4 linked regions of the Arabidopsis thaliana genome follow. The protein of the gene in region 1 binds, or shares a complex with, the protein of each later gene. Each region holds a gene or a part of one and is shown in the gene's direction. Other genes may lie near its edges. The genes, in order: AT5G11350, CAF1b, AT5G10960 and AT3G44240.

What was found.
Region 2: AT5G11350 (region 1) and CAF1b share a complex: the UniProt entries of both Arabidopsis thaliana proteins name them as parts of the CCR4-NOT complex.
Region 3: AT5G11350 (region 1) and AT5G10960 share a complex: the UniProt entries of both Arabidopsis thaliana proteins name them as parts of the CCR4-NOT complex.
Region 4: AT5G11350 (region 1) and AT3G44240 share a complex: the UniProt entries of both Arabidopsis thaliana proteins name them as parts of the CCR4-NOT complex.

The regions. Positions count from the first base shown.
Region 1 is NC_003076.8:3,617,761-3,627,366, forward strand, and holds AT5G11350 (DNAse I-like superfamily protein), read left to right. Parts: upstream 1-3,758; 5' UTR 3,759-3,822; coding exon 3,823-3,924; intron 3,925-4,007; coding exon 4,008-4,449; exon of another isoform or gene 4,450-4,456; coding exon of another isoform or gene 4,457-4,517; coding exon 4,518-4,684; intron 4,685-4,832; coding exon 4,833-4,898; intron 4,899-5,032; coding exon 5,033-5,085; intron 5,086-5,158; coding exon 5,159-5,240; intron 5,241-5,317; coding exon 5,318-5,367; intron 5,368-5,521; coding exon 5,522-5,603; intron 5,604-5,816; coding exon 5,817-5,909; intron 5,910-5,995; coding exon 5,996-6,028; intron 6,029-6,114; coding exon 6,115-6,203; intron 6,204-6,345; coding exon 6,346-7,108; intron 7,109-7,201; coding exon 7,202-7,287; coding exon of another isoform or gene 7,288-7,294; intron 7,295-7,402; coding exon 7,403-7,487; coding exon of another isoform or gene 7,488-7,514; intron 7,515-7,577; coding exon 7,578-7,652; downstream 7,653-9,606. Other genes in the region: AT5G11330 (FAD/NAD(P)-binding oxidoreductase family protein), read right to left, coding at 1-49, 149-359, 446-750, 859-1,101; AT5G11340 (Acyl-CoA N-acyltransferases (NAT) superfamily protein), read left to right, coding at 1,466-1,619, 2,630-2,752, 3,091-3,308; AT5G11360 (Interleukin-1 receptor-associated kinase 4 protein), read right to left, coding at 8,076-8,354, 8,443-8,675, 8,766-8,844. UniProt on the Arabidopsis thaliana protein: Acts as a catalytic component of the CCR4-NOT core complex, which in the nucleus seems to be a general transcription factor, and in the cytoplasm the major mRNA deadenylase involved in mRNA turnover.
Region 2 is NC_003076.8:7,362,682-7,369,937, reverse strand, and holds CAF1b (Polynucleotidyl transferase, ribonuclease H-like superfamily protein), read left to right. Parts: upstream 1-3,138; 5' UTR 3,139-3,496; coding exon 3,497-4,333; 3' UTR 4,334-4,461; downstream 4,462-7,256. Other genes in the region: MS1 (RING/FYVE/PHD zinc finger superfamily protein), read left to right, coding at 1-58, 371-653, 809-2,231; OFP10 (Ovate family protein), read right to left, coding at 4,659-5,249; E2F1 (E2F transcription factor 1), read right to left, coding at 5,818-5,960, 6,077-6,146, 6,277-6,547, 6,633-6,706, 6,787-6,852, 6,940-6,988, 7,066-7,116, 7,191-7,243. UniProt on the Arabidopsis thaliana protein: Ubiquitous transcription factor required for a diverse set of processes. It is a component of the CCR4 complex involved in the control of gene expression.
Region 3 is NC_003076.8:3,460,123-3,468,026, forward strand, and holds AT5G10960 (Polynucleotidyl transferase, ribonuclease H-like superfamily protein), read left to right. Parts: upstream 1-3,975; 5' UTR 3,976-4,241; intron 4,242-4,355; 5' UTR 4,356-4,458; coding exon 4,459-5,292; 3' UTR 5,293-6,192; downstream 6,193-7,904. Other genes in the region: AT5G10950 (Tudor/PWWP/MBT superfamily protein), read right to left, coding at 1-179, 316-405, 661-713, 807-902, 1,135-1,186, 1,274-1,347, 1,433-1,510. UniProt on the Arabidopsis thaliana protein: Ubiquitous transcription factor required for a diverse set of processes. It is a component of the CCR4 complex involved in the control of gene expression.
Region 4 is NC_003074.8:15,937,125-15,943,853, forward strand, and holds AT3G44240 (Polynucleotidyl transferase, ribonuclease H-like superfamily protein), read left to right. Parts: upstream 1-3,059; coding exon 3,060-3,779; downstream 3,780-6,729. UniProt on the Arabidopsis thaliana protein: Ubiquitous transcription factor required for a diverse set of processes. It is a component of the CCR4 complex involved in the control of gene expression.

The DNA.
Region 1 (9,606 bases):
GCATCTTATTGATCATTTCTTGACTCACTTTTAGAGTAACAGAGTTGCTCTGATATCGTAATTCCATAACAACAACAAAATAGAAATCAAGAAAACTACACTTGTAGACGCATCCTAATCAAAAAGAGAGAGGAATTAGTCTTCTTACTTTCAGGTCAGGCTCTGGTTGATTGACATACCAAATCCAGTTGAGTTTCTTGTTAAAAAGCTCGTAAAACACGCTATGAGTCTGTTCACCGAGATCAAAATACAAGCATTTTCCAAGATCCGGATACACTTTCTTAATCCCACTAACTGTTTCCGAGTTCTCATTCCCTGAGAAATCAAATACACCTCTCCAAGCACAATAACCAGAGTACCTTTCACATAAAACGAAAAAAACAAAATCCTATATGATCAAGTCCACAAAATATCGATAAATGAAGATCACACTCTTATTTCAAACCTCAGTTTAAAGTCAGGCAAGAAAGTTTTCCGAATCGAAGACAAACACCCATCAGCTGCAATAAGTAAGTCTCCTTCAATTTCAACAGTTTCTTGAGTTTCCACAACTAAAGTCTTAACCTTTACATTAGATTCATCTTGTGACATTGTGAAAGACAGAAACTTATGTCCCCAAAGAAACATGGTCTGAGGCAATGCGTTATACAGAAGAGATTGAATATCTGACCAATAAGCTGCTCGGAAATCAAAATCCTCATCTCTTGTTAAAATCCTTGTCACTTTCTTCTCACTATCAGTTGTCTGATTCTACAACAAACCCACAACACACAAAAAAAGTTAAAAACTTTAGGTAGAGCTGGAAAAACTAAACGCCGATTGTTTCAATTGTCGAACTAAACTCAGTGTTCTTATTACCTGATCAATCGAGAGAGGCAAGGTGATTTCATCTAAGAGCTGTGGAGTAGTAAGCCATGATTTGATGATCTGCCGAGCCTGAGGGTCGAGTCCGAGCCCAGCACCAGTAGGACTCCCAACAGGAGGTTCGGAAGATTTCTCGAGAACCAAAACATCCCAGCATGCTAACGTGAGCGAGTGTGCGCAAGATAAGCCTGCTATACTTCCTCCTACTATGATCGCTTTCCCTTTCTTCTTCCCCATCTCATCAAATCAAATGTTTCTTCTGCTTCACAAATTGTTAACGATAAGAGAGAGTTTCAACTTAATGAAACCTCTGGGTGGATAAGAGGATTAGAACTATGTGGGATGATTCCAGGCCCAATATTCCAAGCCCAATCGTTTGGTCATATAAATAAGAAACTGATCTCTGTTGTGCGTCAAAACTATGTATTAGAATTTCATTTTGTCCAGGCCCAGAATGAATTATAGGCCCAATAGTCTATTCTCTCTCCCACGAACATTATTTATAGATTTTTGGGTTTCCCCTAAATCTCGAGCTTTTTCTTCCCTTGATTTCTTTGGTCTCTGTCCGTACGACGTCGAATATCTAGATTGTTCGACGGCGATGGGAGCTGGGAGAGAAGTCAGCGTATCGCTAGATGGAGTCAGAGACAAAAACTTGATGCAGCTTAAGATACTCAACACGGTTTTGTTCCCGGTTCGTTACAACGACAAGTACTACGCCGATGCAATCGCTGCCGGCGAATTCACCAAGCTTGGTTCGTCTTCTTCTTACTTGATTTTTCTTAATTTCTGTCTCTCTTTGCTTTCCCCAGTAATTCCTGCTTAAATTTCTTAATGGGCATGTGCTATTACGATTTCACGGGAATGTGCCTCTGAATCAGAACTAAAATTCATCGAATTTTGGTATTTTTGCTCTCAGATTTCTGTCTTTTTACCTGAGCGAGCATTAGTAGTCGAGTTTGTTCCTTTAATAGGAAAAGTTTGCTTTGGGGGGTTTATGATGAACTGTTCTGTGATTAGGCTTGGTATACTCTACAAAGAAAGTACCTTTTGCAATCCTGCTTTCCTTTGGTTGTTTGTTTAGTTGGTTCACTGGTCATTGTAATAGGTGTGATTATCTGTGTCTTCTCTTTTGTTCGGTTCCGTGAATTTATTTGACTGAGCCATGTTTTATTTAGGTTCAGTACTAGTGTCTGATACTAGGAAGAAGATGATTTTATCGGTAATATTGGTAGAAGCCTTCTTTCTAAGCCTTGAATGGATCGATTTTGTTTGCTTTCTATTGTCTGTTGTTTCGTAATTACCGATTCATGTTTGAACTTTGTGGTTGATGACATTGATGTTGACAAAGTATCATCTTGATCGTTGTTTTAAGTTGTTTGACTATATGAATACTGCATTCTTTTGTTCAACCAAGCAAAATTTTTTGTATGTTAAGCATGTGTACCTTGTAATCTATCGCTGATTGACTTATATTATCTTTCGAGAACATGGTCCAAGACTAATTTTCGTATTCACAGAATTTTTTCAAGCTCACTTTTGTGAAACCCTTGGTTGGAACATCTTTTGCGTCAACTAGTTCTTTAAATGTACAATAAGATGTGATTATGAAAGTCTAAAGACTGTTAACAACGTCTTAAATTTGGTACTAACTATTTCATTGCAGTTGCTTGGGTAGTTATGTTCTTGGTGTTACATATATTTTCTCTAATTTGTGATCAAGGAAAATTCTTCATGTTCTAATAATGGATTGACTTCCTCTCAGCATATTACAATGACATATGTGTTGGAGCTATCGCCTGTCGGCTGGAGAAGAAAGAAAGTGGGGCCATGCGAGTTTATATAATGACGCTTGGTGTTCTTGCACCCTACCGTGGGATTGGCATTGGTAAGTCATAAATCTGCTGTGCAAAACTTGAATACCGACAAAACATGAATAATGAAGAAAACTGTTAGCATGTTGTGTAATTCTGTTGTTTTCCTTACGTTTTAACACATGAGGCCAGCTGTAGTATGTTTATTCTGTAGTTCTCTATTTGAAGTGTCTCCATTTAGAGATTCAAACCACCAAGAAATAGTCCTTAGGGTTTTATGCATATCGTTGTTTTACCGAGAAACTGGAATTATGATTCCTCCTATATCAAGATTTAAGATCGAATTCCCTGCTTTAGAAAGAAAAACTCGATGTCTATAATTTGTGTATCTTGTTTTTTTCGTCTTTTGCAGGCTCAAATCTATTGAATCATGTTCTTGACATGTGCTCCAAGCAAAACATGTGTGAGATATACTTGCATGTGCAGACAAACAACGAAGACGCAATCAAGTTCTACAAGAAGTTCGGCTTTGAGATCACAGATACCATACAAAACTATTACATCAACATTGAGCCAAGAGATTGCTACGTTGTCAGCAAGTCCTTTGCTCAATCTGAAGCCAACAAATGATGAAAAATACCAAACTTGGGGAAGCCATTCCTCCCCAGTTTCTTTGTTGCATTCAGTTCAAGATCTATTAATGTTATGATGATCCTTCGGTTTCCGAGTTTTGCTTGTTTTGTTGACCTTAATTTTTCTTACTGATTCTAAATTTATAAATTCCTGGTTATATACTTGCATGATTTCTCTAATGTCCTCTTGGCTTTGGACATTTTCGTTTGGAAAAGTTTTTAACTTTGCAACTCAAAGCTTTACTACCAAGTATCATCGTGTTTGTAAATGTTGGTCTATGAATTTGAGTAAAGAGAGACAATGATTCTTGTTATGAGCTGTAGAATAAAGTAAAGAAAAAAATGAAGAATTTATGACTTGCGTTTTGGCTTGCGTGCCATTTATTCACAGTGAAGACTGGAAGATGTGTTCTTCTTGAATCAAAAAACGGCACGTCTTATGAGTCTCCGTTCATCGGTGTCTGCAATTAAGCACCGGTTCCTCGAGCTTCCTCACTCAATTCGATTGACCAATGCGGCGTTCTCGTTTTGTTGCTCAAGTTTTCTCCGACGTTACCTTCGCTGACGCCTCCACTATCTCTGCTCCAATCTTCACCATGTCTACTCGTGCTCCGGTAAATTTTCTCAGCTATTCTCTTGTTCTATCACTCCCGCTGCGTTGCTTCGGTTACTGGAATATAATTTGTTTCTTACGAAGCAGTACAGAGGTGCCCGAGGACGAGGACGAGGCCGAGGTGGGAGAAGTTTCTCCGATCGTCCGTACAATGATGACGCGGGAAGAGATCAGTTCGTTACTGGAGATTCTCATTTTCAATCAGTTCATGACGCCAATTTCCGATTCCGGCATGGTGAACCTTATCGACAACATCAGCCTCCGCTTGATCAGCGGCAGCAACCACCGTTCAATCAGAATTACGAATTTCGACCTCCGCCGCCGTCACGAGGTCAGTGGCAACAATTCCGTCAACCTAATCAGTTTCCGTCTAATCAAAACTACGCGGCTTGCCCTCCCCCTCCGTTCTATCAAAACCAGATGTCCCGGCCGCCTCCACAGCAGAGCTTTCGTCAACGGCCACGGTCAAAACCTTCAGATTACCGTGAATGGGAATATGCCAAAACGCCACCGTCTCCTGGCTCCGGTAATTTATGCGTGACCATCTCATTTGCTCCGGTATACAATTTTTGATTTGCTTTCTCTTGTCTACAGAAAAGTTTGTTGTTTTATCGTATAATATATTGGCGGATTACCTTGCAAATGATCACTGGAGAAGTCTTTACTTTCACATACCGAGGAATATGTTGAGTTGGGGATGGAGAAAGAGCAAATTAGTGTTCGAGCTTAGCCTATGGTCTGCAGATATAATGTGCCTTCAGGTTATAGTTTCTGCTATATCTTCTTGGTAATTGCTTGTATGAGGGACTAAGGAGACAAAACTTTCTTGCTTTACTATTTTTTTATCATATGTATACAGAATGTATCTTCCATATGTATAGTAATCTAAAATTATTTTGTATATGTCAGGAAGTTGATAAATTTCAGGACTTAGAGGAGGAGATGAAGCACCGGGGATATAGTGCTATTTGGAAGGTAGGTTTGTTGAAAACTTTTAGTTGTCTTGAGTTTGTATTCTCTACGGACTCTCTTGGAGTAAAGATTAAATGGTATGCATCATAAGAACTAGGCTTCAAATGTGGGGTTAACTCTATTTTATAAAACTGTAGATGCGGACTGGTAATGCTGTTGACGGATGTGCAATATTTTGGCGATCCAATAGGTTTGATTCCCTTGCTCTTCCTTGTGTGGATCAGTCTGGAATCTTGTTTAGGATTTCATTGTTATCATATTAGATTCAAGTTGGTTCACGAGGAAAGCATCCAGTTCAATCAACTTGGTCTCCGAGATAACGTTGCTCAAATATGTGTGCTTGAGGTAATATGGATACCTTATGTTGATAGTGACTTATATACATTTGCCTCTTTGCCCTAAATTAAATTTGCTCTGTGTAGACATTGTTGACTTCACATACAAAAGAAAATGAGACCCCTCCACCTGAAAGGTAACTTAAAAGTATCTGTAAATGTTACTATCATATCATTTTATGGGTGGATAATTTCACTAGGAAGTGGCCGATTTTCTTCAGATTTCAGTGGTTTTCTGTATGGACTATACTTTGTGGGTGGGTTGAAGTGAATTACCAATTTCTTTTACAGCTCTGCTGGTTCCCATCGAGTTGTCATTTGTAACATTCACGTGCTTTTTAATCCTAAAAGAGGAGACTTTAAACTTGGTCAGGTACTTTCCTTTAATGCCATATTCTAGTTTGTAGAAATCTTTTGCCAAACGACAGTTTTACTCTCTGGTTTAACTCTGTCTATACGCTATGAACATGTATAAGTGTTAGGTGTTTGAGATAAAACTTTTGAAACCAAACGCTTCGCCCCTTGCTTAACTTGGTTTCTTTAACTGTTTCCATTTATCATCTATGTATTTATCTCTGTTACGTAGGTCAGAACACTCTTAGATAAAGCTCATGCTGTTTCAAAACTCTGGGATGATGCGCCTATTGTTCTTTGTGGGGATTTCAATTGTACACCAAAGGTAGGACAATCTTACCTTAACCAGTTTGTATACCCCAAAAAACTTGTTTTGTGACATGGTCATAACATTCTTCCACCTGGTTGCAGAGTCCTTTGTACAACTTTATTTCAGACCGGAAGGTAAAGCTTCATTGTTAGGAAAGTCCTTCACCTATTCGCAACATTATATATATGGTTCACATTGTGTCTTGTGCTGCTCTCTGCAGTTGGATTTGTCTGGTTTGGCCAGAGACAAAGTTTCGGGGCAAGTTTCTGCTGAGTTTCGTCCACCAAGGCCAGAAAATTATACAACGAGGTAGAGCAAACTCACCAAGTTCTTCGACATCATTAAGTATATGGTTATGCAACTTAACACCTCCATGTCTACCCTAGAATATCGGGTTCTACTCTGCTTTTGCAATTGTCAGCATGGTTGATAGGCCTCCTCAATTTTCCAGGTATCAGTCCGCCAACAAATCTCCACAAGGTCAAGTTCAACCACCAAATTTGATCACAAATGCTCATATGGAGAATAACTCCAACATAGATGTTGGAACGGCCCCCTCCGAGAAGACATCTGAGCTTCCATGTGGTGATACAATTCTTGCTGGTCACGAAGCCACCTCCAGCTCTGACCAAGTATTACCATGCGAGAATATGGCCTCAGATTGTCAGTTTGGAATAGAAAACAGAAAACCTGATGATTCCGGGAATCTCTCGACAGCTGAAGATCTTTCTTCACTAACCATATCAGATACAGAACCTCAACATGCTTCCAGTGCTAGAGAAGATTTGAATACAGATCGTTCTGTAAGTTCCGGTTTATCAGAAACAGAGCAAACTCCTGAGGAAATATGTTCCAGTGATCAAGATATTTCATCTAGTCTCTCCACCAAGGTTGACACTTTTGTGGCTGAAATGAAACTAGATGGCTTAAAATTGGACGAACCAGTAGTATTCGCGCAAGATGAAGAAAGTTTAGGTGAAGATGGGGAAACCTTTTTGGCTAAGCTACACGATAACAATGAAAACTTGAGTCAAAAAGGGGAACTTGTGAGTGAAGTTCCACTTAAATGGAGTTCTGAAGCTTTAAATAGTGACAAAATCACTTATAGTCCATCCTCTTGGACTCCAATGGAGATAGCAACTGCAACTGGTGACCCAGAGAGAACTACGGTTGAACATGCTCTGGAGCTTAAAAGCACATACTCAGAAGTGGAGGTATTGTAATATATCCTCCCTACAGTTTTTCCCTTTTATCTTCTGTTTCTTGAGAAATTATATCCTTAGGAAGCTGTTGAAATTTGTGGTTAGGGTCAAGCAAACACAAGGGATGAAAACGGAGAACCTGTAGTGACCAGTTATCACAGATGTTTCATGGGGACAGTTGACTACATATGGTATTAGCATTAGAAGCAAAACCATTTGTGACAAACCTTAAAATTAGATTACTTCATTATTGTAAATTATGCGCGTTTTGACATATTCTCATGTTTGATTTCTGGTTTGGGTTAGGCGGTCGGAAGGTCTTCAAACAGTGCGTGTGCTTGCTCCAATACCAAAGCAAGCAATGCAGTGGACTCCAGGCTTCCCGACTCCTGTAAAATCCCATGATATTCTTATATAGCCTACCTTTTTAACTGAATTGTTTACAAAACTTTTTTATGTTTGTATTTCTGGTTTGTTACAGAAATGGGGAAGCGATCACATTGCACTGGTTTCAGAGTTGGCCTTCTGCAGCAGCAAAACTCTGCCCAAAAGCTGATATTAAACTGGTGGTGAGTTCATTAGAAATCTAAGAAAGTGTAAAGAGATTAGATGGTTGAGGTCTTGGGTTCAAAGCACATCCTTGTTGCAATGTTTGTGCTCTGAAGGTCGCCAATAGCTTATTTTATATCCCAGCAAAACATCTAAGAGTAAACTTTTACAGAATCTCATAGGCTCTAGTTTTGTATTTTTCTCTATCATATTTTACAGTGACAAATTATATTTGAGTTTTTCTTTTTGGGCGACACTCGATTTCAGAAAATCTGCTATAAAAGTTTAAAGCATGCTTCTTGATTTTAAATAGCTTCAATTGTTAACCCCTAACTCTTTCAGCTTTAGTCTAGACTGACTCTTTCAATTATTACAAATAAACACCTAGCATTTATCCATGTCCCTGTGTCCAATATAAGGACATCTCACATTAGGACCTAATCCCTGCAATATAATTCAGAGCATCCAAAACTTCTTGCATCAATGGTCGTTTCTTCTTGTCCCGATTGGTGCATCTTTGGATGAGTGTGACAATCTTTGTGGCCGCATCCACAGGATAATCGCTTCCTATTCGGGGGTCGATTATTTCCCCAATCTTATAATTATCGGGCAAGAAAGACCCAGTCCAATCTGAGCTTTGATTCTTCAAAGCTGTTGATCTATCTTGTGAACCAACTAAAAGCTCAAGCAAGATCACGCCAAATATGTCCTATCAATCAATAAGTACACAACACATATAGAGACAAAAGAAAAATTTAAATATGTTGAGTAAAAAAAAAAAGACAGACTTTACTTACCACCCACTCTTGTAGAGCCTGTGAACTGCCATGAAGATATTCGACAACAGAAACAGGGGTACCGGTTTTAGTTCTTGATGGTGCAAATGTGGTGTTATCGATGTAGCCCTTGTAGAATGATCGAATATAGTGATCATCGCGAATTACGACCCTGTCTTGTCTGGATTTCTTCGTTGCTTTCATCCATTCCTTGAAACTGAAGACTCTCAGATTCTCGCTTTGTGCCTCCACTTCTTCATATTACATATATAGACTTGAGTTACGTATTTTAAAAACATTACATGTAAACAATTGTAAAGTGAATTTATAAAACAGAGATGTACCTGGAATTAGAGGGACGGTGAGAGGCTGGTAAGCAAAAGAAGAAGGTTGTTGCTTGAAAGGCTTGACAATGTTTCCCATTGTTGAAGATACAAGGGTTCAAGGCTTGTTTCTCAATCTCTTTGGCTCTCAAAATCGGAATGGAATTCACAAGATACTTACTTCTGGTTTCAAGACATCTTGTTGGATTTTAAAGAGGTCAAAAAAATTCAACGCTTTGAAAAAGTTATGTTGAGACAGAAAAAGAAACAACCACTATTGATGACAGCAGTACTAGTTACTAAGCTCGGGGAAAAATTCTTAAAATCAAGTAAAGAATCTCAGAAAAGTGGCAAGACTCAGTTTTAGTAAGTTATTGACTTATATTGCTTTAGTTGATTACAACTTTTTCTGTAAGACACAAGTAAACAATTTCAGAAAAAGTGTTGTCAATTTCAGTAAGTTATTGACTTATTGCTTAGTTGATTATAAATACAGAGGCTCTAAATGGAACTTTGAAACGTATAGGGCACAGAAGAACAGTTGTTATTTTTGAGTAAAAATGTACAAAAAGACAAAACCAAAAACGCGTTTATTTGCTTTCCTTCTCTTCTAGTAAGCTGAACTGAAAAGCTATTTGAATATATATTTTTACTCTTTTTTCTCTTTGTAAATTCTAATAATCGAACAAAATATAACGAATTTTCCATATAAAAACAAGTCATTGGTGATATATTAATTTGTCTGTAAAACGTATTTCATTAAGATTTGTGTTTTTTCAAGTTACAACTGAAAAAATAAAAATATAGCATCCATTTGAATTTATTTTATAAAAATAAATAATTCTTTATTAAATAGCAAATA
Region 2 (7,256 bases), 3.7 Mb from region 1:
GTAGAAGAGCCCATCGAAGCCTCTCTCAATCTCCGTTGCAACCATTGCCAATATGTTGGTGACGTCCTCTCTCTCTTTTCCCTTCTCTCTCTCTGTATACAATTTTTCTTTTGCGTATCTATCTATATATGCATGTGAATACATTCGTATATAACTATATATGACCTAAGATCATAAGCTGAAAATTTAGTAAGAGTTGACCTAGCTAGCTCAACATGTAAGCATTTTTCTTGCATATATATCTATATACAAGCTTACACGTACTTATGAACAAAAATAGCAATAATAATTTAATATATGGTTAAAAGTGATGCATTTATGTAAAGATCAAAAATATATATTATACAATGGTTTATACGGAACCTTGCAGGTTGGGGAAATCAAATGATATGCAACAAGAAGTACCATTTCGTGATCCCCTCAAAGGAAACAATGGCGGCTTTTTTAAAACTGGAAGGTGGAGGCTACGCTTTTCCCGAAAAGGAAAGTTTCTCCCATCTTGTGGAGCTTCAAGGCCATGTCCTTCACGGCTTCTTTCACTCCAACGGATTTGGTCACTTGCTCTCTCTCAACGGCATTGAAACCGGCTCCGACTTAACCGGTCATCAGGTCATGGATTTGTGGGACCGGCTCTGCACCGGTTTAAAGGCCAGGTACTAATTAGACTTTATATATTTGTATATCATATAAACCATTCAACACAATAACCATTCAACACAATTCTGTTAGTTTTCATATCATAATGGATTATTCCTAGCTATTAATTTGGATTTACACATAATGAGTCATTTTATTTTTGTTCATATAGGAAAATAGGGTTGAATGACGCGTCGCACAAAAAAGGAATGGAGTTGAGGCTGCTGCATGGGGTAGCAAAAGGAGAGCCATGGTTCGGTCGTTGGGGCTACCGGTTCGGGTCAGGGACATACGGAGTGACTCAAAAGATTTACGAGAAGGCACTTGAGTCGGTCCGTAACATACCCTTGTGCTTGCTTAACCATCACCTAACCAGCCTTAACCGAGAAACTCCAATCCTCTTGTCAAAGTACCAAAGTTTATCCACCGAGCCATTGATCACTCTCAGTGACCTCTTCAGGTTCATGCTTCATCTCCATTCACGTCTTCCAAGAGATAACTACATGAGTAACTCCCGAAACCAAATCATCTCCATTGATAGTACCAACTGCAGATGGTCTCAAAAACGGATCCAAATGGCTATCAAAGTGGTCATAGAGTCACTGAAAAGAGTCGAATACCGATGGATATCGAGACAAGAAGTGAGGGATGCAGCTAGAAATTACATTGGGGACACTGGTTTGCTTGATTTTGTGTTGAAGTCGCTTGGGAACCAGGTGGTTGGAAACTATTTGGTCCGACGTAGTCTAAATCCGGTGAAGAAAGTGCTAGAGTATTCCTTGGAGGATATATCAAATTTGTTACCAAGTAGTAACAATGAACTCATAACCCTTCAAAACCAAAACTCAATGGGGAAGATGGCGACAAACGGTCACAATAAGATCACAAGAGGTCAAGTTATGAAAGACATGTTTTATTTTTACAAACACATTCTCATGGACTACAAGGGAGTGTTAGGCCCCATAGGAGGTATATTGAACCAAATCGGAATGGCTTCAAGAGCAATCCTCGACGCTAAGTACTTCATCAAAGAGTATCACTACATTAGAGATACATCGGCGAAAACGTTACACTTAGATCGAGGGGAAGAATTAGGAATATTCTGCACGATCGCGTGGAAATGTCATCATCATAACAACGAGATAAAAGTTCCTCCACAAGAATGCATTGTAGTGAAGAAAGATGCAACATTGAGTGAAGTGTACGGAGAGGCAGAAAGAGTGTTTAGAGATATCTATTGGGAACTAAGAGACGTCGTGGTGGAGTCAGTGGTGGGTGGTCAAATAGAGATCACAAGGGTCGATGAAATGGCCTTGAATGGGAATAAGGGATTGGTGTTAGAAGGGAACGTAGGAATGATGATGAACATTGAAGTGACGAAATGTTATGAAGATGATGATAAAAAGAAGGATAAGAGAATAGAGTGTGAGTGTGGAGCAACGGAAGAAGATGGAGAGAGAATGGTGTGTTGTGATATTTGTGAAGTATGGCAACACACAAGGTGTGTTGGTGTTCAACACAATGAGGAAGTGCCTCGCATTTTTCTTTGTCAAAGTTGTGATCAACATCTTATTCCTCTCTCTTTTTTACCCTAAATCATTCATGTTATATTAAACCTTCTTTTTTTCTATCATTACGTCATAATACATAAATTATACTCCTCGATCAACGTGAATTCTAATGATCCCTCCTGCGTCTATATCACCAACATGTTGAATCACAAAGTCATATCCTTGCCTCCTCTGGAGCCTGACTGTTCTAATAATATCATTATCAACATGTCGCTCTCCTCTTCCCCTGATGACTCATGTGACGTCATCTACTCCAACCGTGATTCCAAGTTTTACTTGACAACAACCTTAAGGCTTGTCTCCAAGAAAAGGCAGTTAAATTTTAACAGAAAATAATTCACAACACAAGGCGGAGAAAGAAGTGTGTAGTGTTTTAAATAATTTAGGCTTACAATTGATGCAAAAACAAAATTACAAACAAAAGAAGGTTTACATAATTTAAATAATTTAGTTTTACAATTGATGCATTTGGAATTAATAAATTATTTCTTCATTAACATGGAACAATATCAAGTTATTGCAAACAAAGGAAATGAAAGAAAAACAGTCATGTGTTTAACAACTCTGTTCAAGGTCAACGTCCTAAAAAGTTTCTTATTATATTGACTGAAGATGGAAAACTCCACGGACTATCTACGTTTGTGATATTGTTTCTAGAAATTGGGACTTACATCCAAATCTGGAAGAACAATCTTCTAAACACTACCAACAAAGTCATGAGATTCGATGAGTAAACTAGGGAACAATGAAAACTGAAAAGGGCTCAACCTAGGCTTCGCTGTTGCTACAATTTCGTGAAAACATTAAAGCACAATCAGATACGTGTAGACATCATCATAATCTAATGATTCAACCCTTTAATGCGTTTTTAGTGCGTCGTTACATATTCAGTGTTTATTGGTAATATAGCAATATTCCTGATAAAGTTCATTGGTCGTAAGTCGTAACGTTTACATGTTTTATTCAACTCTTAAAAACCAATAGAAAATCTTAATGTACTTGGCCTTCTTATTCTTGTCGGCTTAATGTACTTACTTAAATACAACGACTTGAATTGCAATAATTCGATACACGAAGGAGAAGCCAACTTAGACTAAGTCAAGAAACACATTGAATCATAAACGTGCGCGTTTCTCACACTTCTTCTCCTCTCCTTCCTCGTAAACACTCTCTTACTCACATTCATATATATAACTAAACCTTGCAGATTAACCAAATCAACAAAAAAAAACAGACTTTTGATAAATTCACAACGAAGAAGAAGACCTAAAAGATCGGGACTTGAAACTATGATCAAATCAGAAGCAGATCTCTCCGATGTGATCGTGATTCGTGACGTTTGGGCTTATAATCTCGAGTCAGAGTTTGACCTAATCAGAGGAATCGTCGAAGATTACCCATTCATCTCAATGGATACAGAATTTCCCGGCGTGATTTACAAGGCGGATCTCGACGTTCTCCGCCGTGGAAACCCTAATTATCTCTACAATCTTCTCAAATCCAACGTTGACGCTTTAAGTTTGATCCAAGTCGGTCTTACTCTCTCCGACGCCGACGGAAACCTCCCAGATCTCGGCGGTCAAAAAAACCGTCGATACATCTGGGAATTCAATTTCCGTGACTTCGACGTGGAGCGTGATCCACACGCTCCTGATTCGATCGAGCTACTCCGTCGTCACGGGATCGATTTCGAGCGGAACCGTCGCGAAGGTGTTGAATCGGAGAGGTTCGCGGAGCTGATGATGTCATCGGGGTTGATCTGTAACGAGTCTGTGAGCTGGGTGACGTTTCACAGCGCGTATGATTTTGGTTACCTTGTGAAGATTCTCACGCGCCGGCAGCTTCCGGTGGCGTTGCGTGAGTTTTTAGGGTTGCTTAGAGCTTTCTTCGGTGATAGGGTTTATGATGTGAAACATATTATGAGGTTTTGTGAGCAGAGATTGTATGGTGGTTTGGACCGGGTTGCTCGGTCTCTTGAAGTTAACCGGGCGGTTGGGAAATGTCATCAAGCCGGTTCGGATAGTTTGCTGACGTGGCAGGCGTTTCAGAGGATGAGGGATTTGTATTTCGTTGAGGATGGGGCGGAGAAACACGCCGGAGTTTTGTATGGTTTAGAGGTTTTTTGAGGGATTTATAATTAATTAATTTAATTAATCTTTGTTAATCATTTATACAGTCGAAATCGAAATTATCTTATTCATCTCTCGTTTTAACCAAATCCAAAAACCAAAACGAAATAACTCAATTTGGTTTTGTTTAACCAATTTACACTTCAAAACTTTTTGTGCAGTAAAATATTATCGTTACGTTAGAGCTAGGCTTTGAGGTATAACTTTGATTTTTGTTGGTGTTGTTTAATAGTTTACATCTAGTCATGGAATCATAAATTGAAATTATTCACAATATTGTAACATCTATATATAGAGAGAGATATGAGGAGGATTTAGTTCCTCATTTTGAAGAAGTTTGGTGTGAGTCATCATCATTGTTATCAAGAGGATTGTTAACATATAGACGAAGCAATCTCCCAAGTGACTTCCCACGTCGGTCGTGTGGTGGTTGGAGATGTGAACAGACGTCGACAAAAGCACGGACGATGAGATTGTGTTGAGGAGAAGGGTTTATGTCCAAGAAACACCTTAGAAGCTCCTTAAGTTCACTTTCCGTCTCGATATATCTCTCTTCGATCATCTGATTCATCGACTTCTTGTAATCTTCGAACGGATTGATTGATTCTTTAGCCATCGCGACGCTCTCATCGATCTTAGGACATGGGCTGCGTAAAACCGTGGGAGAAACCGGTGGTCCCGGGGTGTAGTGGCTGTGAGAGGAAGGTGGAACGGTAGAGCCGCAACCGCATGCCATAAAAATGGGTTTGAATATGGTTTTGAGTATATACTTCATCATCTTCTTGAAAGACATTTTTTTTTTTACTAGAGGAAGAGAAAACAAGTTGAGATTATTGAGTGAGGATGTTGGTGTGGGAAAGTTTGTTAAAAGAGGAACCTTTTTTTCATTTAACTTAGCTTGGAGATTCAGCATTGCTCATTGCTTTGGAGATGCACAATTTTGATGGATTTCTTTTTTAAGGAAAATAATACCATCTTGAGGTGAATTCAAAGTTATATATGATATCATTTGTAAGAAACTATCTCGAGTGATATCAAAGGATTGGACATAGAAACCGATTTGAACCAAAAAGAAATCTCTCAAACCACAACCGAACCAATATGTTTTCGTCAAGATTTTTGATGAACGGAAATATGTTTTAGTTTCGATCTGGTTACCTTTTTGGTAAACCGGAAATGGAGCATGTAAAACTACTAAGCACCCGTCTACAACTCTAAAAGGTTTTGCAGTTTCACATGAACAAGACCAATATTAAGAAATCAATGGGCTAAGGCTAATTCTATATTAAGCCTGAGAAGCTAACAAAGAAAAAAAATGAAGAATACAACGAAGGGGTTGGTTTCTCTACTTTTATTTTGCAATCTCTATTCTATGATAATGCAATGCAGCTACTGTACAAGTACAACATTAACTCTGGTTTCACCGAAATCAGATTCTATGTACAGATATATGGTGGTGCTTGTAATGTGGTATGGTAACTTCAGCTACCTGTAGGTGATCTCGTAGCAGTGGATTCTTCTGGTGTTGGGCTCGATGGAGTTTGTGGCTGCTCCAAGATTTTGTTGTCGCTCGGTCCAGCGTGGTCTTGATCAAATGTAATCATCTGGTTCCAGTCTGGTCCAGCTAATGATGAAAGAGTCAAGGAGCTCTAAACAGATATCATATTTGGGGAGGAAAAAACTCAAAAGCTCAAAGAGAGATTAGATTAAATCACAGAAAGTGATAGAAATCAAGGATACATTCATCTGGCCACATGTCTGTGATGCTGACTTCGCCTACCTCTGATCGAAACCAGTAATCTACACCCATCTGTATATAATGTAACATACAGGTAAATATGAATTAAGTCAAGCATGATTTTTTAGATATGGTTACTTTTCCAGACTGTGATTATGTACATTGGTGAAAATTTTAAGCTGAGGAAGCAGTTGGGACTTACATCCAAATCTGGAGGAACAATCTTCATGATACCATCGACAAAGTCATGAGATTCGATGTCAGAGTAAACTCTTTGCGTATCATCAACTTCCTGTGTTTCCATGTTTCTTTCGGTGCTTTCCTCTTTCATCGGCATAGATACATCATGGTTCTCAGGGAGACCAGATGTTGATGGAAGATTTGAAGGTACATCAGGGACATTAGAGGGTTCATCAGGAACATTTGAAGGTTCATCAGCCTGAGGAATGTCCTCAAAGCTCTCTTCGAATTGACTAAAAAAGCACAATATAAATGTCAGTCTCACTTCCATGTTACAGATTTATCCAGGGCAAGCATAACGTTTGAGGACAGTGTTACCTGACTAGGTACACGTCTATTGGTCCCATTGTGCTTCTCAGAATGATTCTGTACCTCCTCTGATAACCACCAGCCTGATTAATGGCAGGATAAGAGGTGAGAATCGTTACAGACAGTGCATCGCTCATTTGGTTTTGTGCGCTCTTAAGCTTACCTCATCAGGATCTGGAACCTCAAGAGTTGTTCCATGCGGTGCCTTTACAGCTATCAGCGTCTTATTCTAAAATAGGCACCACAAAAACATGTTTCCCCAGTGAGAAGAATGCAAGGCAAAGAGAAACACGTAATTACTAGAAGGAGACCAGACCTGGAAGCATGGTAGGTTCTTAATGTCGTTTTCAGTGACGAACAGTAACCTAAAAAGTGGAGCGTCAGAACAAACAGATATGTTTTATTGTACCTTTCGGCAGAAGAAATAGCAGGGGACGCTTACCTTTTGTTGTTTTCATCCTCACTCAAGCTTGTTAATCTTTCTTGTGATTCTCTGCAACCAGGTCGACTCTCAAAAAGATGATACAAAACAGCAGAAAAGGGAAGGAAAATTATCTGCGAAAATACCTGATTTGGTCATCTAATCTTGCCTCCTCAGCTGCGAGGTTTTGTACTTCATCCTGTAAGATTGGT
Region 3 (7,904 bases), 160 kb from region 1:
AAGACATCTTTGGTTTTTTCGAGGCCTTTGATGTCTCTTTTTGATCCACATTCCCCTTGCTCCGAAACCTTTCACTCATGCGTGATGCCGCTGCTACAATCTTCCCACCAATATCACCCATTTTGCCATTTTTCTCAGTTTCGGGCTTTGAGGCCTTCTTCTCCACCTCTTTGGCCTTGCTGTAAAAACAATTGGGGTAATTAGATTTTCAGAATCAAAGCATCACAATAATACTGTGTTGAACTCGCACGTGAGCGTGGAAGTGTGCATATATACGTTTGTTTATTTAAGAATGCATAGTATAACATAACCAACCTCTTTGATGAAGAATCTATCTTCTGTTTCTTTTTGGGCATAGCTTCATCCGTCCTTCCTTTTAAAGATGCCTTCCCTTTCCCTTTAGGCCTGTAGAGAGTTTAGACAACAAAGATCATTCAGAATTACTTACTCCTAAATCTTTAGATTCAGGGACACAATCCACAGCCATGAATATATGTGTATCTGACACACTCATGTTCGTAAATCATGACTGTTAGTGATATTAAAACAATCGGTACTATACGATACAACACACGATCTAAATCATAACCCTAGTTAAGTATAAAGAGAAACTCAAGGTTGCGATGTCTAAAACAGGTAGGAAGATAAGGGCAAACTTACGGTTCTGGAGTGCCTTCAGAACTCTCACCAGCAGATTCCTCCTGTAGGGAGATCTGGAAAAAAAAGAATGCTGAACCATTAAAAGCTAGTGATACACAGGATAAAATCGACAATAAATGATTAAACAAACACTGTCTAATATCTACCTCATCAGATTCAGATTCAGCATCATCTTCTTCAATCAACTCCCATCTCTCCTTCTTCAGATCCAAGGTCTCTTTATCACCATCTTCATAGAAAACCTAATAACAATGAAGAGTAACTCATTAAATGACACATTATCTAAGCAACTTAAATTCCTCTGATAAAGTAAATCATCCACCAAACTCATTCAATTCAGATTAGATATCAATAGATCTTAAAATCCAAGAGATAAACCCTAATTCATTCATTTAATGAATGTGCAATTCAAAATCCAATCTAGATTCAAGCAGACCCATAGAAACAAGTAACAAGATACATGATATGAATTACCCGATGTTTCTTCTTGGAAGAGACATAGGAATCCACCACACCCTTATAGAATCTGCAAAACCAAGAGATCTGTAAGATTGACCACAAGTAACTGATAGTAAAAAAGCCCTAATTTTTTCAATAAGATTGGAACACTCACTTGCTGTCCATCGGCCACCAAACTCGTATCCTTGAACCCACCAAGGCTTCACCATATTTACGAGCATCAGAAACCTAGTAAAGTTCAATACTTTAGAGCAAATTCGCATAGAAAAACTAGTAATTCAAACCAAAGAAGAAGAAGCGATAGTTGCAAAACCTTATCCTTCCCAGAAGAACGAGTTGAAGAAGAAACAAGTCTGTTCTTGGCTGATGAACGCTTCCTAGAACCAACCATCTTCGAAAGCAATCAAAGGAAGAAGAAGAACAAGAAGGAATCTGTGTTTTGTGTTTGTGTTTGGTGTAAGATATTTTTCTTACAGCGCAGAGAGAGATTTATAGGAAGAGAGCGAAGAAGAAAGAAGCGGTGAAATTGGGGGTTTTATTTAGGTTACCAAGGGGTGTCATTTGGGGGATTTGAGAGATTTCTTTCCCCTGAACTAACCAACGACACGTGACTTTACTAGTTAAGAATTACCTCTCACGTGTTTGACGACGACCACATCTTTTCTTTGCTTTACTTCTATTGGTCTCTTCCACTCTTCTTTTTTTCATCTTTTTCTTGTTAAAGGTCTTCTTTTTTTTTATCTTTAGCCAGTTGTTATTTACCTATTAATGTTTTCTGCCAGTAATTGGACCTTCAATATCCAGTGTTATCAAGTTAGAGGAAAAGATATTTATCCTAGTATAGTGCTTTACGATGACTAGATGATGATCCTCAAATTAATATTAGATCACCGGAGTTGGTCCAAAATAAAATGATAGAAAATATGGTCATATTATTATGAACGATATATCTTCAGATTTACGGTCTTGGTTTTTAATGGTTTTCTAATAAGATTATTTTCTCTGAAACGTGATCAAGAACTAAATACTCGTTTTTACGAGTGAACTTAACGTTTAGTAACTTAACAGCTATGAGCCTTCTTATCTTTAAGTGTATCTTATAATAGATCATATCGAAATGTTACCTAGAGTTCATGTAGAATATGACATTTGTTTTATCAAGCTGTTCGAACATTTGTAGGAACGATCTAAACATCTCTAAACAATCCAAAACCCATAAAATTAAACAAATATTTGGTACTAGATGATTTACCTAATCTAAATTATATGTGCACGTGATATTAAAGAATTTATCTACGTTAAATACATGCAACTGTTTAAATAATTCTTTCTAATTTAAGTAACAAAAATTTCAATTTTAGTTTCTATTTTCGTTTTTTTCGATTTTGATTTTAAATATAGAATTCTATTTAGATTTTAGATGAGCAAGCAATTACACGGTGAGACATATTTTTGGAGGGTAACAATTAAGTAAATTTTGTTATATATATAAGAACAATTATGCAGAAACTTTCATGTTTGGTATGTGTTGGATTCCAGAAGAAATTTCCTAAAAATGGTCGGATGATGAAACCACCATCTAATATTTCGTGACTTGACATTACTTGTTTATTTTTTTTAATTTATAGAAAAAGGTACACAATTATTTGATATAAAACAAGCTAATACATTAGTTTATATAAAAACGAATTAATTATTACAAAACAATGGATTATGCTTGAGGGTAAGTGGGAAGCACGATGATGCCTTGACTCCGTAATAATAATTAGAATTAAAATTCCTTTATCCCCTTTCTTCCTAATAGTTGTCTTTTTTTGTAAAAAAAAAAAGAACTTTGGTCCTCGTTTGAGTTGGAGAATCTTTTCATGTAATAATTTTAAGAAGAAAAACTGATTACGCTGGTGAAACTTGAAAGTTTTTTTCTAAAATAAATAAATCTAAAATGATTCTATTCATGAACGAAGATGATTGTAACAAGTGATGCATGTATCTCTATCAAACGTCTTCCCATTCGTTGTATGATTGCATTAATATTGGCCACTTGTAACTTGTAAGGTAGAAATCCCAAAGTCAATTCTATTATAATTAAAATTACTTTGTTTTGTTTAACAATTATGCTAACAAATCCTTCTTAATAACAAGATAACATAAATCTAAAATCCTTTTTTTGAGTTGAAAAAAAACAAGATACCATATTTTCAATTAATTGGCAGAACTACATAGGAAACAAATCCGAAATTGAAGAGTTTACATAGAAGAAAAAAAAACAGAAATAAAAGAGTTTACCTGGAAAATAATCAAATATTATGTTCTTTCAAATTTTCGACAAAAAAAAAAATTGATATTCTTTCAATTTTGTGAGATAATCAGTACAGAAATTATTAAAATGTGATATAAAATTGCGAGACAATCCGTAGGAATATTATTACCAAATGATATAAAACTGAGTTAAAATTGTAAGAAAAAGAAGTTTTAAGGTTCTTCAAATCATCTAGCTGACTAGCTCCATAGCAAAAATAAATAATTTTGATTGTTTATTAGCACAATCTGTTTCTTAACCATATAAATTTAGACTTGTACAAAAATCAAAATGCAGTTTAGTTTATACAACTTTTCCTATAACTATAAAGTTCGATCGTCATAATAAGGTATAACAATTTAACTCTAGTACCAAATGCTATAAAATACATAAAATTTAAGAATAATGGAGGTAGGTCTACAAAGCAAAAGAAAAAAAAAAGATCATGGAAGTTACAAACGAACGGAATTTCCGTGATACACATAAATAAAAATTGGTCATCATATCACACAATTCGCATCATTAAAATAATTAGAAAACGGACAATACGGATAAAATAATTGGTAACTGGCCAAAACGTAATGATTGATGTAAGAAGACGCACGGCAAAACGTCGTCGTATAAGCTTTTCATCGTCAAACAAAACGGCTTCGTTTCAAGGCTCACACTTGTCTTTATTTATCACTTCATCTTCTCCAAAGCCATACCACTTGAAACCTCTCTCTCTGGTTGACCCGATAATTTCTCTCTCGCAGACGCACAGATCTCTCTTCGAATCTGCTAGATCTGTTCCTTTTCTTACATCTGTATTGCGAAACCTCTGGTAATTTCATACTTTCATGTCTCTCCGTTTCATTTCGATTTTCGTTTCACAGCTAGGGTTTGCTTTTTGTTACATCGATTTCTGATTTTCCTGGTGTTGTTGCCTCTTCCTCAGATCGGAAGGTTTCGTTTACAGATCTACCGATACGAGTTTCGCAGTATTTCCGAGTTCCGACGTATGCTTTGTTTTCAGATCTGGGTTTGTTGTATATCTAGAAATGGCGGAGACTTTGAAAGAAGATTCGATTATGATTCGAGAGGTTTGGGATTACAATTTGGTTGAAGAATTCGCGTTGATCCGTGAGATTGTTGACAAATTCAGCTATATCGCTATGGATACTGAGTTTCCAGGTGTGGTTTTGAAGCCTGTTGCTACTTTCAAGTACAATAACGATCTTAACTACAGGACTCTCAAGGAAAATGTCGATTTGTTGAAATTGATTCAAGTTGGGTTAACTTTTTCTGATGAGAATGGGAATCTTCCGACTTGTGGGACGGATAAGTTCTGCATCTGGCAATTCAATTTCCGTGAGTTCAACATCGGTGAGGATATCTACGCGAGTGAGTCTATTGAGCTGTTGCGTCAGTGTGGGATTGATTTCAAGAAGAACATTGAGAAAGGTATTGATGTGGTTAGGTTTGGTGAGCTTATGATGTCGTCTGGGATTGTTTTGAACGATGCTATCTCGTGGGTTACGTTCCATGGTGGATATGATTTCGGGTATTTGGTTAAGTTGTTGACTTGTAAGGAATTGCCTCTCAAGCAAGCTGATTTCTTCAAGCTTCTGTATGTGTATTTCCCTACGGTTTACGATATCAAGCACTTGATGACGTTCTGCAACGGACTGTTTGGTGGATTGAACAGACTTGCGGAGCTTATGGGAGTGGAGAGAGTTGGGATTTGTCATCAAGCTGGGTCGGATAGCTTGCTCACCTTAGGGTCGTTTAGGAAGCTCAAGGAACGTTATTTCCCGGGATCAACTGAGAAATACACTGGAGTCTTGTATGGTCTAGGTGTGGAAGATGGTACTACTACTACTGTTGCTAATTAAGAAGAAAGGAATGAAAGATACTTTGAAAATTCCAGGGAAGTGCGATTAGATATATTTCTTTAGTCTTTGTGAGTGTGAGAAGACCAAAATAGAATCGTCGTTGTGTAAATTGGCAAATTGGTGTTAGTAAGTGACTTGTTGTGTCTTTGTTGCTTTGTTTTCAGGAAAACCCCTTGTGATCAAAATTTGAGGGGTTTTTGTTTTAGCTTGAGTTTCTGAATGTATATCAATTCAGCTACCCGTTTATTTAATAAATAATCTCCAATTTTAATTTTTCTTCTCTTTTCTTTTTGTGTGTGTTTTCTTCTTACTAGTGACCAATGTAACTTGACAGTGGCTTCTTGTAGTAGCGTTTGCATGTCTCAGCTTGCAGTTACTGTGTAATTCTTTGTAACCATACCAGTTTGAAGATGCAAACTGGTAAGTTTTATGCTTAAGAGAATGTTGAATCTTCCTGTGTTCTTCTTTCCCTCTTCGTTGATACAAGTTGATAAGGAGAACAATGAACTGCTTATGCTAGAGGTTATATGTGTTACATTGTTTAAAAAACAGAGCTATGGTAATCGATTGATGTATAGATTTGTTATTTAGGTGTTTATGATGTAAGTGGTATCATGTCATGGTTAATGTGGAGGAGAATCACATATGTATGCTGTTGCATTCGCCAATCACCTCAATAGCCAATTTATTATCATATTGTCAATGAGTAGCATTCTAATGCAATCAATGTTTTGTTGGGCAAGTATTCAGACGTCATCTGAGTCGCAAGTGGTACAGAAGATTACGAGATTTGACTGATTGAGACGTCGTAGCTCATTCAATTGCCGAAGAAAAAAAAAAAAGTATCAGCCTGTTGGAAGTATTATGTCAAAATGTGGATTTGTGTATGAACTCAGTTTCCATCAAGATAATTAAATCTAAGTTTCTCAAAACCTTAAATATTTCATTACACGAACTTGTTTGATGATCGAAAACATATGATCCAATAGCAACACGACACGAGAAATAAAGTAAAAAGAAGAAAACAACAGCAATACGGCAAAAGTCCGAGTCACTATTATGTAGGTGTGGCAGAGAATCAAATCTACTTCTTATTACAGAAGAAACAGTGTACTTGCTAGTCCTGTCTTTAACGGCTTCTCTGAGTCTCTTCACGTGTGTTTGTGTGTTGGGAATTGGGATTCTGATTTGGGCCTTTGTTGTGTGGGCTTTGATCAGAGGTGGGAGAACGTTTTTACCAAGGTTGAATTGGGATTCTGATTTGGGCATGTTTGTTGTTTTAGGGTTTAGTTATTATCAAATGACCACTATTGGCTATTGCTTTGCTTTAGGTAACCAAAAAAACGTTACATATTTAAATAAAAATGTGTAACACAGTGCGGACGAAATAGCATCAAAATTATTTATATACATATCAGATATGAATTGAGTTAATTAGTGTCTAATTATTATCTTGTGGCTGCCATATGTCTTTTTTGAACTTGTTCTCGTTGAGGAAAATTTGGTATGCCTAAACATAGTATGTTTATCAATTTGGTTGAGACCAGCAAAATATCAGTGCCAACCCTAATTATAACGATTACTCATCAACTTATGATATACATATCCTTGTGAATCCAAAAGAAGCTGTCAAGCACCCACTTTTATTTTATTAGTTTTTTTTTCTGTTGATGTATAGTACTTGATTGCGGAAAAAATGGTAAGTAACTAAGTATGATTAGGGCTATTTGTTATTTTATTCTTCAAAAATGAAGAGTAAGGTTCAGATGTAGTTTTGAAATATACTTTTTGCCTAATTTTGGATGAGACAGACAAATCTAATCAAAAAGATTCAGCTGATTTGTGATTACTGGTAACACAAATAGTGTTTATATTTGTAATCATCCATGTGGGGGTGGTTTCTCCTGCACCACTTGTCTCAGTTCCCCTTACGCAATCATGTTTCTTGTTTTTAAATGCTAATGTGATACCTATACAGTCTTAAGTTATTATAAAGTTCATATTAGTGTACATGTAAGAGACTTATAAAATAATTTGTAGTCAATCAAATTTTTAATTGATACTAACAATTGATCCACCGAATCAGCTTTCACAATTTCTTTAATTGTAGATCGTTTGTAACATTGGACCCACGAATTATATATAGGTCGCATTCGACAAAATACTCAACATACTTAAACTAGTTGTCCTAACAATTAGTTCTTTGGATTTTACTTGCCTATTTTTATATTTTCCGGCTTCCACCACATATTAATTTATGCTAAAGTTTTCGAGAAATCAAATACTGAAGATTCGTATCCCGAGCAAGCATAGATGAGACGCTTTGTCGTTTCACTTTGTTTTCCCACCCAAACCAGAACAAAATTTATTGGCCTTCGAATATTTCGGAAAAAACAAACAATATTCATTTAATGGACTTGTGAAAGAAGGGTGATATTAATCTTTAATCATGTCACTTAATTGATATGATAAATATTCAAGTGAATCATGTAAAGTGGAAATCACTGTGAAGTAGAATGTGTCCTAAGGGAGTTTCGTACCTTTCAACCATAAAATCCGGCAAACTATTAAGGATTCCAATGGATATAAAGATGAAGGAGAGTGTGAATGTG
Region 4 (6,729 bases), on another chromosome or scaffold:
TCTCGTTTCCCAAAATTCAAAATTGTCATAAATCAATTGAACTAGAAAATATCTAGGTGGCAAAAAAGCTTAATATTTGCAGTTGATGTATACCAAAATTACTCTATGATATAAAAATATGTTAAAAAAGTTAGTCCTATTTTAGGTTACTGATGGTGTAAATCCTACTATATTATTTGGGAAGTACATTTTAAATATAACCTTAATTTTTGTAAGTAATTACATAGGTATGCCATTAGGAATAAAATTTTAAAGAGTAAATTAATTTATCTCTTTAAGGATTAAAAAGTCAAATACTAATTTAATTAATTAAATTTAATTTAAAAACGAAATACATTATTAATTTTCAAAAATAATAACCAATCAAAATCAACATATAAGATTTGATATCTAAATTTTAATTAATTTGATTTAATTAGAAAAATAAAATACATTATTAATTTCCAAAAAAGTAACCAATTAAAATCAACAAATTAGATTTGATATCTAAATTATCATATTAATGTTTTATTAATTATTATAATTCACTTCTCATCTTTATATGATTCTATTTTTGCAAAAAAATAATATCATCATTATAAAAAAATAATTAGAGTTTTTTCGCATATGCAATAATTAGAATTTTTAAAAACGAATATAAACTGTTAAATACATGAAAAAATATTATACCGGGTGAAAAATAGATTTAAGAAAACTTTCTACTGAGTAACGGGTCATAATTTGAAATATTTATATTTAATTTCATACATATTATATTGAAAATTTATAATCTTATATACTATAATAATTTTTATGTGTATGATGTGATTCAATTTTTAATACAAGCTAGAAAATCCTAGAATTGACGGGTTTAGATCGATATTAATATAAGATGGTATACTACAGGTGAAACTCTTAAATTAACAATCAAACTACAAGTGTATAATCTTAAACACTAAACAATATAGATAATATCAACAAAACATATACAACTCACAGTTTACTATACATTTAAAATTAAATAAAATAATATCATATATTTTTAAATCATCTTTACAATAAAAGTTTTTAGTTTAACTAAAATATAAGCCTACCTGCGGTATACTACAGGTTAATATCTAGATTATAGGGCTTATTGGATCTAAAGACGGGTCATCAAAGATTTCCTAAACTGAAGCAAAATATACTGAATACTCAAATATCTATCTGTTACCAAATTATAAACAAATAAGTTCGTAAAACAATTTAATATTTTATATACAAAATCAATTAAATCTTAATCACATAAAAATTAGCACAAAAAAAAGTATTCAACAATTAAAAAATTATCAAATCTCTGTGTTATATAAGTTTTGATACTATATTCGAATAAAGTGTAATATTCCTTTTCGATTTGTATTCTTTAACTAATTTAAGCTGACTAATATATTTGTTAATCTTATACCTATCAAAACCGACTATCGTTTTTTATCTCTATAGTATTTTTGCAACATTTGTTTGGTGGATTTGGGTAAAAGTGCATTCGGGTCATATGGTACATTCCCCTATTAAATAAATATGGTGTACTCCTATGTTATCAGCTAAAATATTTAAATTATAATTCAGAGTCATATCATTAGTAAAATTAATATTAATAAAATAAATGGCTTTTTGGCAAGACGGATTTGGAGTGACGGGTTTTTGAATCAACATTAATAAAAAAGTAAAATATAATTAATCCACTGTTTCAATACGGGTTAAATCTTTAATTTATTATTTTTTAAGATCACTAATATTAAACATATCAAATCATCCTAATTTAGAAAAGATTATATAAAACCAAAAATGTTATGTGGTATGTATAATATTACTATATATATAATTAAATTATAAAATATAAATGTATTAGAGAATATACAATTTACAAAACTTTTATATATAAAAAAGAATTCTTAAATTTTAAAAATTACTACTTTAAAAAAAAAATCACAGGACGGGTAAATAAATTATAGAACAGGTTTTATTTTGGAATTGGGTTATATGGTGGATGTATTTGAATCAATATTTATAAAATTTTAAATTATTATTATGCTGTTGTTTTAATAGGGGTTACAACTTCAGTTTTTTAACAATTATCTCATGGATTCGTGGTATAGCGTTATTTAATAACAATTATAAACTGTAAAATATAAATATATTTTAAAATTAAAAATTGCAAATTTTAATATATATTACTTTTAAAATCGTCCCGCGGTATACCGTGCGGTATACCGCGGGTTAAAATCTAGTTTATAGATAAAGCCAATACATTTCCTTGCTAAATTCAACATACTAACAACTAGATTAGTAGAGCTACAATTGCAAATATACCATTCCTTTTACAATATAATTATTTTAAAATAGGTTTTACTAGAACGATTCATCTTAATTAATATAAAATAGAAAAGAAAGTTTATTTTTAAATTTTTGCCTTTTTAACATTTGTAATCTTATCACACTAATATTGTGATGAATATATTAGAAAGTTATTTTGATTTTAGGAAATTGACAGTCTAAATTTTATAGATACATGAACTCATTTACGGACTAAATTCAACATACTAGCAATAACAGCTACAATCACAAATATAGTATATTCTTTTTGATAGATTTATCTGAAAATATATTTTTCACTAAAACAATTAATCTTAACTAATAAAATGGAAAAAGAAAGTTCATTTATGAATTTTTGTCTTTTTAACAATAAGAGTCTCATCACATTAATATTGCTAGTGATGAAATATGTTGAAAAATAGGTTTACTTTTGGTAGTAAACCAATAAAAGAATAATCTGAATTTGTAGCATTGATTTCTTATAATATTGTGAATTTTAAATACCTGAAAGGTGAATTTAAATGATCAGTAATTACAATATTAGTCTCGCAAGAAAACAAGAAATTTCCTTTTCCAAAACCGAAATAACTAATAAAATCAAATCCAAGACTTTTGCGGCGGTGACAGACTCTATAAAGAAGTTTCAGTCCCAAGACTCCCTCACATTATTTTCTCTCGCTCTCGAACAAAATGGTCGTGAAATCTGGAATTGAAATAGGAACAAGGAGATGAGTTTAATAGAAGATTGTCTAAGAAGCTACCGTTTCATTGCAATAGACACAGAGTTTCCATCTACTTTGAGGGAAACTACACAACATGCGACAGATGAGGAACGTTACATGGATATGAGTTTTAGTGTGGACAGAGCAAAATTGATCCAGTTAGGGCTAACTCTGTTCGATATCAATGGAAGAATTGGAGGAACATGGGAGATCAATTTCTCTGATTTCGGAGTTGACGATGCTAGAAACGAGAAATCCATTGAGTTCCTTAGACGCAACGGTCTAGATCTAAGGAAGATTAGAGAAGAGGGCATCAGAATCGAGGGTTTCTTCTCGGAGATGTTTTGGATGCTGAAGAAGACGAGGAGGAATATTACTTGGGTCACGTTTCATGGATCTTACGACATCGCCTATTTACTCAAGGGTTTCACCGGAGAAGCTTTACCTGTGACTTCAGAGAGGTTTTCTAAAGCGGTCGCGAGAGTTCTCGGTTCTGTTTACGATTTGAAAGTCATGGCGGGTCGATGTGAAGGACTAAGTAGCAGGCTTGGTTTGGAGACTCTAGCGCATGAGTTCGGACTTAACCGTGTTGGTACTGCACACCACGCCGGTTCCAATAACGAGTTAACGGCGATGGTTTTCGCTAAGGTACTGTCTCCGTTTCCTCTCTTTCTTCGTTTTGGTTCTTTGGAGTTAAGAACTATAGAAAGTGAAGCAATAGTGTAGTGTGTGTGTGTGCTTTGTGCCTTTGTCTAATCCTAAGACTGATCAATGATATATGTCCGTTCAATTATTTTTCTAGTAATGAGATGTTTTCAAGACTCAAGATACATTGAAGATGGAGAAGTAGCAGCATACACCAAGAATAATTTGACATGGCCCAATTGAACAAGATCATTCCCATCCTTTACCATGTCTTGTGATCCTAGCTTGTGTTTCTGCTGTGTATTGATTTGTGATCTTAATTCAACACTAGAACTTTTTCTTCATTACATGTTGACTTGACTAAAATGTTGATACTAATATACTACACAATCATTTAGATGCATGAATGATCAAGTTCTATTCTGATTGATATTGTCTTCATAGAACTTAGTGATTAACTAAATTTTATTTATACACTATTATTCAAATAACCATTTGTATCGTATTCTCATTTACATGGCTTTGATAGAATTTAGTAATGCTCAGTTTATATAAATTGCCAAATATGATACCAAATATTTGTGCCTCGTCATAGATCATGAATTAAACTACTGTATATGATTATCTAGTTATTATTTTTATTATTTTAATTAAGTCCGAACTGTATTTAAAATGTTTAATAAAAATAATTTATTAACTTCAAATATTTCATAAATATCTCATACAATGAGCTCACAGGCAGAAAAAAAGAAATAAAATATTCAAAATCTAAAGTTCCTACCTGCTATTTTTCTGCAAATTCTCTCACTTCACTAGATATTTTTTGATTAAAATCGAGAAAAGTAAATGGTTTAAAGATGATATTTTCCGATTAGTAACCACTTTTGAGGAAAAAAATGAGTAGGAAAATCGTGTTCCTCTTTGTTCCTAATTTTGTTTTAGCATTTGCAAGGTATTTTTGTTCCAATTTCAGACATGTGGGTCCTACATTTTTCCTCATCATTCCTAAAAAAAAAAGAATAATAGAACAAAATTGTTTCACCCCAAAATTGTAGAGGAACCAAGAGTAACAAAAAAAATAAAATTCGTTTTTATTTATTAAATAAATTTAAAATAGCTTTTATGATAATATTTATATTTCTATATATAATATTTTCCATGTCTTTAGTATATATTGATATATAATTTTTTTTATCAAACTTTCAATTTAATGAATGTTATGAATTTATTTTAAATTAGTATAAATAAATGTTTTAAAGTGAAATTTATTTTAAATTTGCAAAATAATTTAAAATTTTACTATAAAATAAATAAATGTTTTGGAGAGAAATTTATAATATAATTTATTTTAAATTTATACAGAACTTTAATTTTAAATGAAATTAATAAACAAAATTCAATAAATAATTTTTTAGTAATTGTTATGTTAAATATTAATTCACCTTTTTAGTTACCATTTACCATAATCATTTTGTTCAATTCCTATGTTCCTCCTGGTTCCTACTTATGACCATTTTCCTTTTTCTTTCTTGTTTCATTTTGTTCTTTTTCATTCATATTCCTATCGTTCTTTTTGTTATCACCAATCAGAGCCAAAATAAATCTTTATGTTTATGAGTTTATCAGTACGCTAAGCACTCGTAAAAGCAGTTTTTTCCTATTTATAAACTATAAAGCATCCTCATTGAGGATGCTTATGGAGAGTCTTTAAATATAAAATGAATACAAATAGTAATAGTAAATAATTGAAAGAATCAAGAAAAGATGTGTGTCTTTCTATGGACACTAAAACCTTTTAACACTTATTTAAAGATATTTTCTTCCATGTATCTCATTTTAAATGGTCAGTCTATTTTTGATATTAAAATATTAACTATTTTGGTCTTGAGACATTCAAAAGAATGGTTCACCAATGAGGATGCTCTTATACTGCATTTAATGCAATTATAAATTAGAAAATAAATAAATTTTGGAATATTACTTTTCAAAATATTCAAGAACGAGAAATGATTAAAATAATATATATTTTATTTCTTTTTTCACTTTTCTTTTTAAAATTACGTAAAGGATATTACCGTAATCTTACACCCAAAAAATATTACTTTCTCAAGTTCTTGACTTTATGGACAAAAGTAAAAATTATAATCGCTTTGGATTTGTTAGCTAATTATCCCTTGATATGTACCAAAATTACTCTATAATATCAAAATATGTTAAAAAGTTATTCTGATTTTTAGATAGTGACCATCTAAATTTTGTAGATACAACCAATGCATTTAGTAGCTAAATACAACATACTAGCAATTACAGCTACAATCCCAAATGTAATGTTCTTTTAACGAAATGTTTATCTAAAAATAGATTTTACTGAAACAATTCATCTAAGTTAATATAAAACAGAGTATAATTTTGAATTTTTGATTTTTTAACATTTTGGGTCTCATCACATTAATATATCTAGTGATGAAATATGTTGAAAAACAGGGTTATGTTTTTGTTTAGATATCAAACCAAGATTTTAATAATCTGAATTTCTACCATTATTTTATAATATTTGGACTTTTAAGTCTAGTGACACTCAAAGTGATGACTACTTTTATATATCAATAGCCAAAAATAAATAAAGATGTCAAAATTTCCAATCTGGCTCGATTCATTTATTCACGCTTTGCAAAGACAAATTGTATTTTAAATTTTAAATATCAAAAATTACCAAATGGTAATCCTATATCAGTTAGGAAAGACTTGAAAAAGAATTTTTTTTTTTTCCAAAATCCAAATCATAGTCGACAAAAGAAATCCAAATCACTAATTGAAGAAAATCACTTATTGATGAAAAAAAATAATCACTAATTGAAGAAAATCCAAGCCTCTCTATAAAGCTCGAGTCCCAAATACTCCCCTCACATTAATAAGTTTTTTCTCATACAAAAAAACGATGTTAGAGGTACAAAAACAAACGTGTCGTGAAGTCTGGTTTTAAAATCAAAAGGAAGAGATTAGGTTAATGGAAGAGTGTCTATGAGCAACC